Arabidopsis thaliana: one gene and its partner. The protein of the gene in region 1 interacts with the protein of each later gene in a biochemical or structural test. Each region holds a gene or a part of one and is shown in the gene's direction. Other genes may lie near its edges. The genes, in order: SKB1 and AT1G07660.

Evidence for each region.
Region 2: of the proteins of SKB1 (region 1) and AT1G07660, one has a biochemical effect on the other in vitro, tested with the Arabidopsis thaliana proteins (one study listed by BioGRID).

Annotation. Positions count from the first base shown.
Region 1 is NC_003075.7:15,131,271-15,138,690, reverse strand, and holds SKB1 (SHK1 binding protein 1), read left to right. Parts: upstream 1-1,994; 5' UTR 1,995-2,122; coding exon 2,123-2,263; intron 2,264-2,375; coding exon 2,376-2,493; intron 2,494-2,584; coding exon 2,585-2,694; intron 2,695-2,778; coding exon 2,779-2,868; intron 2,869-3,002; coding exon 3,003-3,068; intron 3,069-3,281; coding exon 3,282-3,361; intron 3,362-3,453; coding exon 3,454-3,529; intron 3,530-3,615; coding exon 3,616-3,702; intron 3,703-3,818; coding exon 3,819-3,879; intron 3,880-4,030; coding exon 4,031-4,122; intron 4,123-4,233; coding exon 4,234-4,269; intron 4,270-4,390; coding exon 4,391-4,459; intron 4,460-4,656; coding exon 4,657-4,725; intron 4,726-4,833; coding exon 4,834-4,887; intron 4,888-4,966; coding exon 4,967-5,041; intron 5,042-5,152; coding exon 5,153-5,245; intron 5,246-5,330; coding exon 5,331-5,434; intron 5,435-5,531; coding exon 5,532-5,580; intron 5,581-5,657; coding exon 5,658-5,744; intron 5,745-5,860; and 10 more. Other genes in the region: AT4G31130 (keratin-associated protein (DUF1218)), read left to right, coding at 226-315, 913-1,127, 1,250-1,532; AT4G31115 (DUF1997 family protein, putative (DUF1997)), read right to left, coding at 6,844-6,958, 7,049-7,107, 7,329-7,414.
Region 2 is NC_003070.9:2,366,848-2,370,364, forward strand, and holds AT1G07660 (Histone superfamily protein), read left to right. Parts: upstream 1-1,985; 5' UTR 1,986-2,160; intron 2,161-2,341; 5' UTR 2,342-2,364; coding exon 2,365-2,676; 3' UTR 2,677-2,888; downstream 2,889-3,517. Other genes in the region: DSI-1VOC (dessication-induced 1VOC superfamily protein), read right to left, coding at 765-887, 982-1,144, 1,375-1,502; ECA4 (endomembrane-type CA-ATPase 4), read right to left, coding at 3,458-3,517. UniProt on the Arabidopsis thaliana protein: Core component of nucleosome. Nucleosomes wrap and compact DNA into chromatin, limiting DNA accessibility to the cellular machineries which require DNA as a template.

The DNA of each region.
Region 1 (7,420 bases):
TAACCATATCTTCCGATTTCTCTTATCTCTCTGAAGCCACAAATCTCCAGATTCATTCGTCGTCTCGGTGAGTGTTTTTCTTTTACAGTTCGATTTTTCCGACTCTGTTCGTTGATTCGATTTTCAAATCTGATTTATGTTTTGGGGGAAATCGAATTTGATATCTGTGTGCTCTCGGATATATTATATAGGTTAAGGTTAGACGGAGAAGAAGATACAACAAATATGGCGGTTAGTATGAAACAAATGTCGTTGGTCGTCTCTGCTTTGGGCGTCTTATCCTTTGTTTTGGGAGTTATCGCCGAGAACAAGAAGGTACAAAAAAAAGTCGTCTCCTTTTGATTATTTCGTGAGAAAACTTTAAATTTCCTGTTTGTTTTCGATGATGATTTTTGTTCTTCTTCTTTGTGTTTATCTACTACTACCACATAAACAATTCCTGTTGCTTTTTGGCGCAAGTTAGTTTTTTTTTTGCACAGGAAATAATCACTCTGGAATTGTATGTATCAAACAGTGATCTAACTATGGATGAATCAATTGTTTTGATTTCCTGTTTCTTTAGGATGCTTTGGTTGTTATTTGTGCTATTCTCTGTGAATGGAGGATGTCAAATTTGTTTTAGTCACAGGACTATGACTCTGATATTGTGATATTGTTGGATTGTATGAAAAAATGTGATCTTCTCACAGCTTCATAATTGTATCTAATGATGGGAAACCAATGTGATCTTAACTGACCCGTAGCTAAATCTTACTCTTTCTACACAATTGTTTGACCTCATCATTGTCACTGATCTCTCTAGGATACCGTATGTCAAGAGCTTTTCATAAGTGGGTAAACCACTTCGGCTTTCTTATTCTTATGTGTTACTGATTGTGTGATTTGTTTCTGTTCTTTGTGTTTTCATCTTAGCCTGCGTCTGGGACTCCAATAAGTGGAAAAGGAGTAGTTATCTGCAAATACCCATCTGATCCAACTGTTGCCTTGGGATACCTTTCTGCTGCTTTTCTCCTTGCCTGCACTGTAGCAGGATACAAATCCTTGTTCATCTCTTACAAGGGAAAGTCTGTTCCTAACTCTGTCTTGTTCAAAAGCACCAGCTTCTCTGTGTTCTTCAACATTGCCTTGTAAGCATTTCCTCTTCTTTTCAAGAACACAGTAGCTAGACCATTACAAATATTCTTGGATTCCGGTATTATAAAGCCTAAAAATAGGAGTCTTTTTGTGACCTATGGTTATTGTCGTGTAGGATAACATCTGGACTGGCCTTGTCTCTGTTGCTCTGGCCAACCATTACAGAACAACTTCACTTGACCCGTAATGTTCACCGAAACTTAGAAACCAGTTGCCCCACGGCTAAGACCGGTCTGCTTGGTGGAGGTGCCTTTGTGTCTTTGGACTCGTGCCTTTTCTGGTTGGTTGCTCTGATGCTCGCTGATAACGCCCGTGAAGACCATTTTGATGAAGTTGAAAGCAGAAGCATCGATGGGAACTCTTCCTCCAGGGATGTGAATCTCAAGATTGATGCTTGAGAGAATGATATGCTTTTATTGGTATTGGGTATAAGAAGGGTTTTTCATTTGTTTTCTACTTGTTTGATTAGGAAAATAATAATTTGTTTCTTCTGTTGTTTTTTTTTTTTTTAATGATTGGCTAGAATGTTATGAAACCCATCTCTGCACCTTGATGCATTGTGATTCATAAGCTGTATCTGTGAAAAATAATCTTTTGGTTATATCTCTTACATTTGACATAATTGATATGAGAAAGCACTTCAAATCACACACTATATCAACATTTTTCTTTCTAAGAATATGTAAATATTCACTTGAATTCGGGTGGCTACTAGTAGTCTAGTACTACTATCACAAACCATAAGACTCTTTTATGTCAAAACCAATTAACATGTTTAGAGCCAATGGTTGGAGCTTGGGATGGCATAAATGGGCTAGGTATAGCATATCATAAAGCCCATTAGAAAAGCCCGATATAAACTACAGATCAGTAAAATTAAACCCTGTCAAAAACCCTTTCGTTTTCGTCGTCCGCTCGAGAAAAGAAGATTCACTTCCATCTGCAAATTCCTTCACTCCCTGTGAGCTCAATAGAGAGAGAAGAAGAGATGCCGCTCGGAGAGAGAGGAGGATGGGAGAGGACCGAGTCCAGATACTGCGGCGTTGAGACTGATTTCTCCAACGATGTTACTCATCTTCTCAACTTCAACATTTCCACCGGCGGTTTTGACTATGTTCTCGCTCCTCTGGTTTGTTTCCTTCTTCTTCCTCGACTCTCACGTCCTTGCCTGTTGTTACTGTATCAATTGGGATTTGAAATTTTATATCTTTGACGGAGTTTACTTCTTTCTCTTCCTGCAGGTGGATCCTTCGTATAGGCCGAGCTTGGTGGAAGGAAATGGTGTAGATACTCAGGTTCTTCCAGTCTGTGGCTCTGACTTAGTCTTGTCACCTTCTCAATGGAGCAGTCATGTTGTTGGTATGATTCTATTTGCTTCTCCACCGTGTGATTTTGTACTCGTTATGAATATGATGGGTTTTGATTTGAGTGGTAAATCTTCATTCTCTAGGAAAAATTAGTTCGTGGATTGACTTGGATTCTGAAGATGAGGTCTTACGGATGGATTCAGAAACCACATTGAAGCAAGAAATAGCTTGGGCTACTCATCTCTCCTTACAGGTGCTTGTGCATCTATGGATTTAACTCACTCTCTTTGTTTTCTTGCCTGCAAAGTGATTTTGAAGAGAAATTCTTTTGTTGCAGGCATGCCTTCTTCCCACTCCTAAAGGGAAATCGTGCGCCAATTATGCCAGATGTGTGAACCAGATCTTACAAGGCCTCACTACCTTGCAGGTGGTTTACGAGTTTCTTGCTGCCGGTCTAGCTTTATTTCAGATGAGACTTTTCTTTACAAGATCACCTTCAATCAAGCTCTAACATTTTGTGGATCTTCTTTGTTTTGTTTAAATGTCATTTCTGCGCTGAAGTTATGGCTAAGGGTTCCACTGGTGAAGTCTGAAGGTGATTCAATGGATGATACCTCAGAGGGACTGGTAAGACATTGGATCAAATTTTATGCAAACTTAAGATTGTTAGTACTTTTTGTGCCTTCTCAGATTTTTAAGGGACTCTCTAATGCGGATCCCTTGGAATCACTTGATGTGGCTGCCTTTTAAACCTAGAAATACAAATAAATGTCCCTATCTGTTCACGTTTTTGTACACTTTGTGTGAGGATTACTTTAATATATACTCTCTTCTATGCAGAATGATTCCTGGGAGCTGTGGAATTCGTTTCGTCTTCTTTGTGAGCATGACAGTAAGCTGTCTGTTGCTCTTGATGTTCTGTGAGTTGAGAGAAACTCTTGATTATTGTTGTTAATGTGGACCCAAAGTTTTTTTTCCACTCTACTAACATAACACCATTTTCTTCATATAGGAGTACACTACCCTCTGAAACTTCACTAGGGCGCTGGATGGGAGAGTCTGTGAGAGCAGCCATATTAAGCACTGATGTAAGTGCCTGACTTCTTGCCGCATTATTATAAACTCCACTTTGAAGTATTGCGAATCACAAAATGCCTCTAATTTGGCGTTGCAGGCTTTCTTAACAAATGCTCGGGGTTATCCTTGCTTGTCCAAACGCCACCAAAAGTTAATAGCAGGATTTTTTGATCATGCTGCCCAGGTAACAAACATCCCACTCTTTGTGATATAGAAATAAATTAAAATCTTCTTTTGACTCACAAAAGAGATCTATTAGACTCGATCTGGTGCTCATTATCATCAATCTTGTAAATGCAGGTTGTAATTTGTGGAAAGCCTGTTCATAATCTTCAAAAGCCTCTTGATTCTAGCTCGGAGGGTAATTTTTCTGTATAATCTTTTGTCCTCTGAAAATTAGCTATTATCCTCTGGGCTTGTTTTCCGTAGCTCAATTTATCACGGGCATTGTTATAATCATAGTTGATTCCAAGTTTTGAGCTAAATATTTTATTACGGGCATTGTTTGTCAGGTACAGAGAAGAATCCTCTGCGCATATATTTGGACTATGTTGCTTATCTGTTCCAAAAGATGGAATCACTTTCTGAACAGGAACGCATCGAGGTCGTTTTTTGCATCCTTTTGCCTCAGTCCTTCTATGTTTTTTATCACTAGATGCAAGCTGGCAGATACAACTCTATTCTGACAGTTATCTAAATCTTACTCTTTGTACAGCTGGGTTACAGGGATTTTTTGCAGGCACCCCTGCAGGTTAGCCTCTTTTCATAAGCAATTCTGATTTCTGTCCGTTCATCATGATAATTTACCCTGTATGAAAATGCTCTATTCTTACTGTAAAGAGCCTCTACTGTTTTTTTTTTAATGAATACAGCCTCTTATGGACAACCTCGAAGCCCAAACCTATGAGACGTTTGAGAGAGACTCTGTTAAATACATCCAAGTATGTTGCATATTCTAGTTTTTTCCCCTCACATCTTAAATTTTAACTCCTTTGGTTTCTAGATTTCCCCTCGTCTATTTCTGCTTCGGTTTGCAGAGGAGAGTGGACTGATGGATGAATCATGTTGAACAATTTAATATCATAGCCTGGTTTTTTTTTAAAGCATGCTTAACTTTCGTCCATCTTTGTGTTGTTAGTATCAAAGAGCAGTTGAGAAAGCCTTGGTGGACAGGGTACCTGATGAAAAAGCATCCGAGTTGACTACTGTATGTCATATGTCAATGTTTTGCTTACAAAGTGGCATTTTCATTTATAAGTTTTTTTTCTGCTATTCATATGAAATACTTCAGTAGGACTGAAATTTTAGTTTTTAGGTCCTGATGGTTGTGGGGGCAGGAAGGGGACCCCTTGTGAGGGCATCGTTACAGGTAAAGTCCTGATGCACAAGGAGACATTGAAAATTCATTTGTTTCATTAATCAAATGTGTTCATTGTTTCCTTTACCAGGCAGCTGAAGAAACTGATCGGAAGTTGAAAGTTTATGCCGTGGAAAAGAATCCTAATGCCGTTGTAACACTCCATGTGAGTTGTCAGCACTGAGTCGATTAAAAAATTGCTAATTTTCCTGTGATTTCATTCGGACGTGCAGTGTGGTTTCTAATTAACTCAGAGCATTGTTATTTTTTCTGATAGAATTTGGTTAAGATGGAAGGATGGGAAGACGTTGTTACGATAATATCCTGTGACATGCGTTTTTGGAATGCTCCCGAGCAAGCTGATATATTGGTCAGTATGTACAGATTTTTGTAGCTAATACTCATGCTGACATTATATACAGTTCATCTAATTCTCGTTTGCCTCTTCTATGCAGGTTAGCGAACTGCTGGGTTCTTTTGGAGACAATGAACTTTCTCCTGAGTGTCTTGATGGAGCCCAAAGGTTTCTGAAGCCAGACGGAATTTCAATACCATCCTCGTATGTGTACTCCTTCGCTTAGTTGAAATTTCATAAGAAACTCATCTGTCCTTTTGTTTCTCTAACTGGAGGAGGAACATCGTTATTACTTTTTCAGGTATACAAGTTTCATACAGCCTATAACAGCTTCGAAGCTTTACAATGACGTAGGTTCTTCTGCTTTTTGCTATGTACTCGCAAGAGTTTTCAGATTAACTCAAGTTCTTTTTCATCCATTTGGCAGGTTAAGGCTCATAAAGATCTTGCGCACTTTGAAACTGCTTATGTTGTCAAGCTGCATAGTGTAGCAAAGCTTGCTCCTTCCCAGTCTGTGAGTCTCTCTCTGTCTCCAGCATTTTCTAATAGCTTAAAGTGTTCTCTTTAAATACATTTATGCAAGTCTTGTCGATCTGACCATCTCAGGATTTTTGGTTTGGTCTTAAATAGGTTTTCACATTTACTCATCCAAACTTCTCAACGAAAGTCAACAACCAACGCTATAAGAAGCTTCAGTTCAGTCTACCAAGCGATGCTGGCTCAGCTTTGGTGCATGGTACCTGCTTTTTTCTAGCCCTTTTTTGTTTGTTAATGTCAATTTTACATCTCCATTTCCGTAATCTGAAACTGAATCTACTGCGATCATAATAGGATTCGCTGGCTATTTTGATTCCGTCCTTTATAAAGATGTTCATCTTGGGATCGAGCCTACAACAGCAACACCAAACATGTTCAGCTGGTAATGGATTAATGTCTATAAATGTTTTAAAACAGAGCTTTCTTCTATCGAACCTCTTACTTCAACCGAGAGAAAATCGTGTTCCTTTTGGCAGGTTCCCAATCTTTTTCCCATTGAGGAAGCCTGTGGAGGTTCACCCTGATACTCCATTAGAAGTACACTTTTGGAGGTGTTGTGGTTCCTCAAAGGTAAAAAAAGTTGAAACCACAAGATTCCATACAACTAACTCTTTGTCTAAAGAACTATTATTGATCCTCTGATTTTCGGGTTCAGGTTTGGTATGAATGGTCGGTGTCTTCACCTACTCCATCTCCGATGCATAACACCAATGGCCGTTCGTACTGGGTTGGCCTTTAGGATTAGAGACTTTTGACTGATGACGAAAAAGTTATGTAATCTTATTGTGCTGTATTTTTGTCACAAGAAAGACTAAAGTTTACGAGTGAATCAAATCTCTCTTGACCTTATTTATGTTTGTACTTTTTCAGTAATTTCATTGCACTTTTAATACAAAGCTATCTCTTTCATCTCAAAAGGCCAAAGTATACAAGTGAATCAAATCTATTTTGTTCATTTAATTGTTTGTACTTTTTGCAGTAATTCAGAGCTATCTCTAATACACGCTGTAATCTCAAACGGCCAAAACGACCCAACAAATCCTGCCTCGGCCGTTTGACAAAACATTGGTAATAGATTAAGAAGTTGCGTTTAAGGAGTTCCGTTGCTGTTTTTTAATCCATTCGTCGTAATCTTTAAGTAATTGCTGAAGCAGAAGGGGAACCAGTGTATCGACCAGTGTCTGCATTACTCTGCAATCATCGTATCAAAATATAACATTACTCGGGCACTTCGAGCCAAGAAGCAGAAGAAATGTAAAACGAACAATAATGTACACTTACAGATTCCCAGGAGCCTCAACAGCTGATACTGGAAGCATTGTGAACGGTCGCGTTGAGATCTGCCATGAACAAGGGGGATTTTGATGAACATAGGAAACAAAGCTTTTTCATATACACAAAACCGAAATGAGAATCATAAGTCGACATGACCTATCCACACAATGATGGATCACAGACAACCATCACGGTACAGTGCAGTATTTGATACTCTTAAGGCTAATAGGATTGCACGAGAATGAAGTTATGAAGGAATGAAAGAAACTGAACTGCAATACACTACCTCTAGAGTGACATTCAATCTCACGTCAACTTCCAAAAATGGCTCTGGATGTTCCATGTTCCAAGTCATGCAGTTTGTCATTATTGCTGTGA
Region 2 (3,517 bases), on another chromosome or scaffold:
CTGTATTATATTAAGAAATAGGAAGTAAAGAATTTTAAATATTAAACAAGTTTCTTATCTTATGTTCAATGTTTTATACTAAGTGTCAGCAATTCCTAAAATTATTTAGCCGGCAAACAATGAAAAGTAGTATATATATGATACCTTCCTCCTAAAATAATTATAAAAATATTTTCAGCGGATAATCGAGTCTCATCAATTATTGTTGATAAGTTCTATTTGACAAAAATCAAGAATCAATTATTGTTATAAAACAAACAATTGATTTGGGTTTCAAAGACCACATACGACAGATCTTTACATTATTGGTTTAGCTACTTTGATAGACAGCCAGTCGTATTAATTTGGAAAGCCAAAGTACTCACAAACATACGAAACTACGACTACGACAAAAGATAAAAAGAAAAAAGGTAAAAGGAACTTTACACTCTCTTTCGTTTGTTATTTTGTTGGGTCGCGGAATCATTTGATAAATGTTTAAGATAACTAGGATAGGAGAAAAATCCAACTATTATGATTTTGATCATAACATCGTTTCCTACTTTGTGTAACGATACTAACAAAGAAAAAACGAATTGAGAGAGGGGAGTGTGGGGACTAGGCTGGACACTTTGTATATCTTTTTACTTTACATGTTGCTTTAAGTAAATATATTCATCAAGACATCAACCATAATTAACAAAGGTACCAAAGTATCTTGTAATATTTATTCATATGTATATAGACTAGTTAATGATCATATTTTACGAGTCTTTATTTTGAATTCACTTAACGTGGCTTCCGATGCGTACAACAATGCCGTCAATGTCTCGCACGTATCCAACCTTCTGCCCCCATTCTTTATCTTCCGGCTTGCTCACTGCCTCCGCACCGTTCTCCACCGCTCTCTGCACAACGCAGCATCTCACTGGTTTATCAACACGTACGAATTGAAGAGTAACAGGCAAATATAGACATAAGTATATAATAATTGATTTCTACCTTGAAAGCGGCATCAACATCAGGGTAACAGAAGCAGACTTCGATGGGTGCTCTTTCACGTGCTGACTGCGTAGCCTGAACCTTCCCGGTTAGGTCGTCGGTCTCATGCTGGTGAAGCGGTGTGAACGCTATCGTGGTTTGCCCGCTCTCTAGCTCCCCCCACCTGTATGTATCAGTTTCTTTCATTCATCAAACATATATATTTGGTGTGTTTGCTTAGCATGTTAGCCAGCGGATCGGACCTGATTATAGGACATCGCACCAATAGAATCTCAAACCCGAGAGTTTTGTTTCATGACCTAATACGATTCTGTCGTTTACATTCCTATGATCGTATCCAACAACACCTAAGACAATCCAACGTAGAGAATAGTAACAATTCATAATACAAACCTGTGGGATTCGTCAAGACGACGGACGTTGTGACCAAAAGCTCTAGAGTAGAATTCTACAGATTTAGCTACGTCCTTCACGTACACAACAGTGTAAGCAAACGCCGGTCTCATCATATTAGCTGCCATTTTTTCCCAGTCTTATGATTCTGATTTCGATCCGATGAAATCCTTGGAAATGCTCATCATCAAACCTCACATAGGATCTCTCTTTACGGTGAGCTCAACACGTGGTCGACAACATGCACCTTCGTGTGTAGGGTACTTGCTGCCACGTGAGCTTTTTGCTCCCTTTTTTGGGTCAATTTGGGCCTACTACTCACATATGGGCCTTTAGATTAGAAAAAAGTCTTGGGTTATCTGTTATGTTGGAGGCTTTTTTTAGTTGTTTAATGGAGTTTACACAGAGAATGACGAAAAGTCGAAAGCCATCTACTACCGTTGATCTTTAAGAACCAACGATCCATATTCTTCTTACAGATTTCACGCGGATCGCAATCTTGGACCGTTGAAAGAAGATGAATCGTTACGGCCGAAAATATATGTCCTGGGTAGTCACTTCCTTTATAAAATGTTAATCCCACCACTTTTTTTTTTTTTTTTTTTTTTTTTGTCAAAACACAACTTTCATTCATTAAGGCCTCAAAGCCTCAAGAGAGGAAAGTTGATACAAGCTACGATAATACAACAGAAAGAAAGATACAAGTTAATCCCACCACTTTGTACTCGAAGTAACATACTTTTTACAATCACATTTTTGAAGAACTTTCATTCCATAAATCTACAGGTAATTCATATATTTCTGCCTTGCTTAGGCGTAGATTTCAATTTAATGTTAGCTTAATTTCTTCAAAGTTTTTCTCGATTTGTCACATTTTCGAAGAGTTTAAATGTTTCGATTCTCAATTCAATTGATTGATCTGGAAATCTAGGGTTTCTGAATAGTTTCCTTCTGTTATTTTTCACAGATCTTTGTGTATCAAGTAAAGAGATGTCAGGAAGAGGAAAGGGAGGAAAAGGATTGGGAAAGGGAGGAGCGAAGAGGCACAGGAAGGTTCTGAGGGATAACATTCAAGGAATCACCAAGCCTGCTATTCGTCGTCTTGCTCGTAGAGGTGGTGTCAAGCGTATCAGTGGTCTCATCTACGAAGAGACCAGAGGTGTCCTCAAGATCTTCCTCGAGAATGTTATCCGTGACGCCGTTACCTACACTGAGCACGCCAGGAGGAAGACGGTGACCGCCATGGATGTTGTCTACGCTTTGAAGAGGCAAGGTCGTACTCTCTACGGTTTCGGAGGTTAATCCGATTTGGGGGATTAGGGTTTATGCAAGTTTGGGGATTTCTTCTTGTTTCTGAGATCCGTGTTAAATGGTTTGAATTAGTCAAAAGTAAATTCAGGAGTTAGTTTTTGTTTCTCGTTTTTCGTTGTTATTAGCCAATGTGATGTAGTAGTTAATTATCTTTTGCAAGCTTTGTGCTAAGAAAATCTAATGAGAATTATCCATTTGCTTGATTTCTTTGTCTCCTCATCTCTTAGGATAGACACTAAACAAATGGTTGTTGAAAGCAATCAAATCTAGTTCACCATCTTATGAGATCATTCATATGAGGCAGCGGTAATTTCTCTCAAGCTTTGATTAGGCTTTTAGCAACGACGCTAGCATTGCTAAACTACAGTCAAATTTGATATGGGTTCATTTTGAGAGGTGTTTTTAAGGTATAGACTTAGCAGTCATTAATATTGCAGAAATGTGTCCAGGAGTGCAAGCAGAGAATACGTATTTCTCTCACAGGATAAAGAGATTGAATCTCTGATCTCTTAAGGTTGTGCCCAAAATAAATTACCATCAGTCTTAAAAACCAATTTGGTCGACCATAAAAGTTTACATAAAGAATCAAGGTTTGGTTGAAACATTCATCTTTCTATCACGGGCTGTGTCCATGAACCAAAGTTAGAAACTTTTCTTTTTCAAACCAAAAATTATCGTTTGGAGAATTAAATATAGCAAGGATGAGTAAAGCAACAAAGTTAATTTCAGCTAAAACTAAGAGTCTAATAATAATGCCTTTTGAATTATTTTCTTACTCCTCCTTTTGCTTAGCTGAGGGAGTGCGAGGTGAGTAGCGGTAGCCACTCGTGCA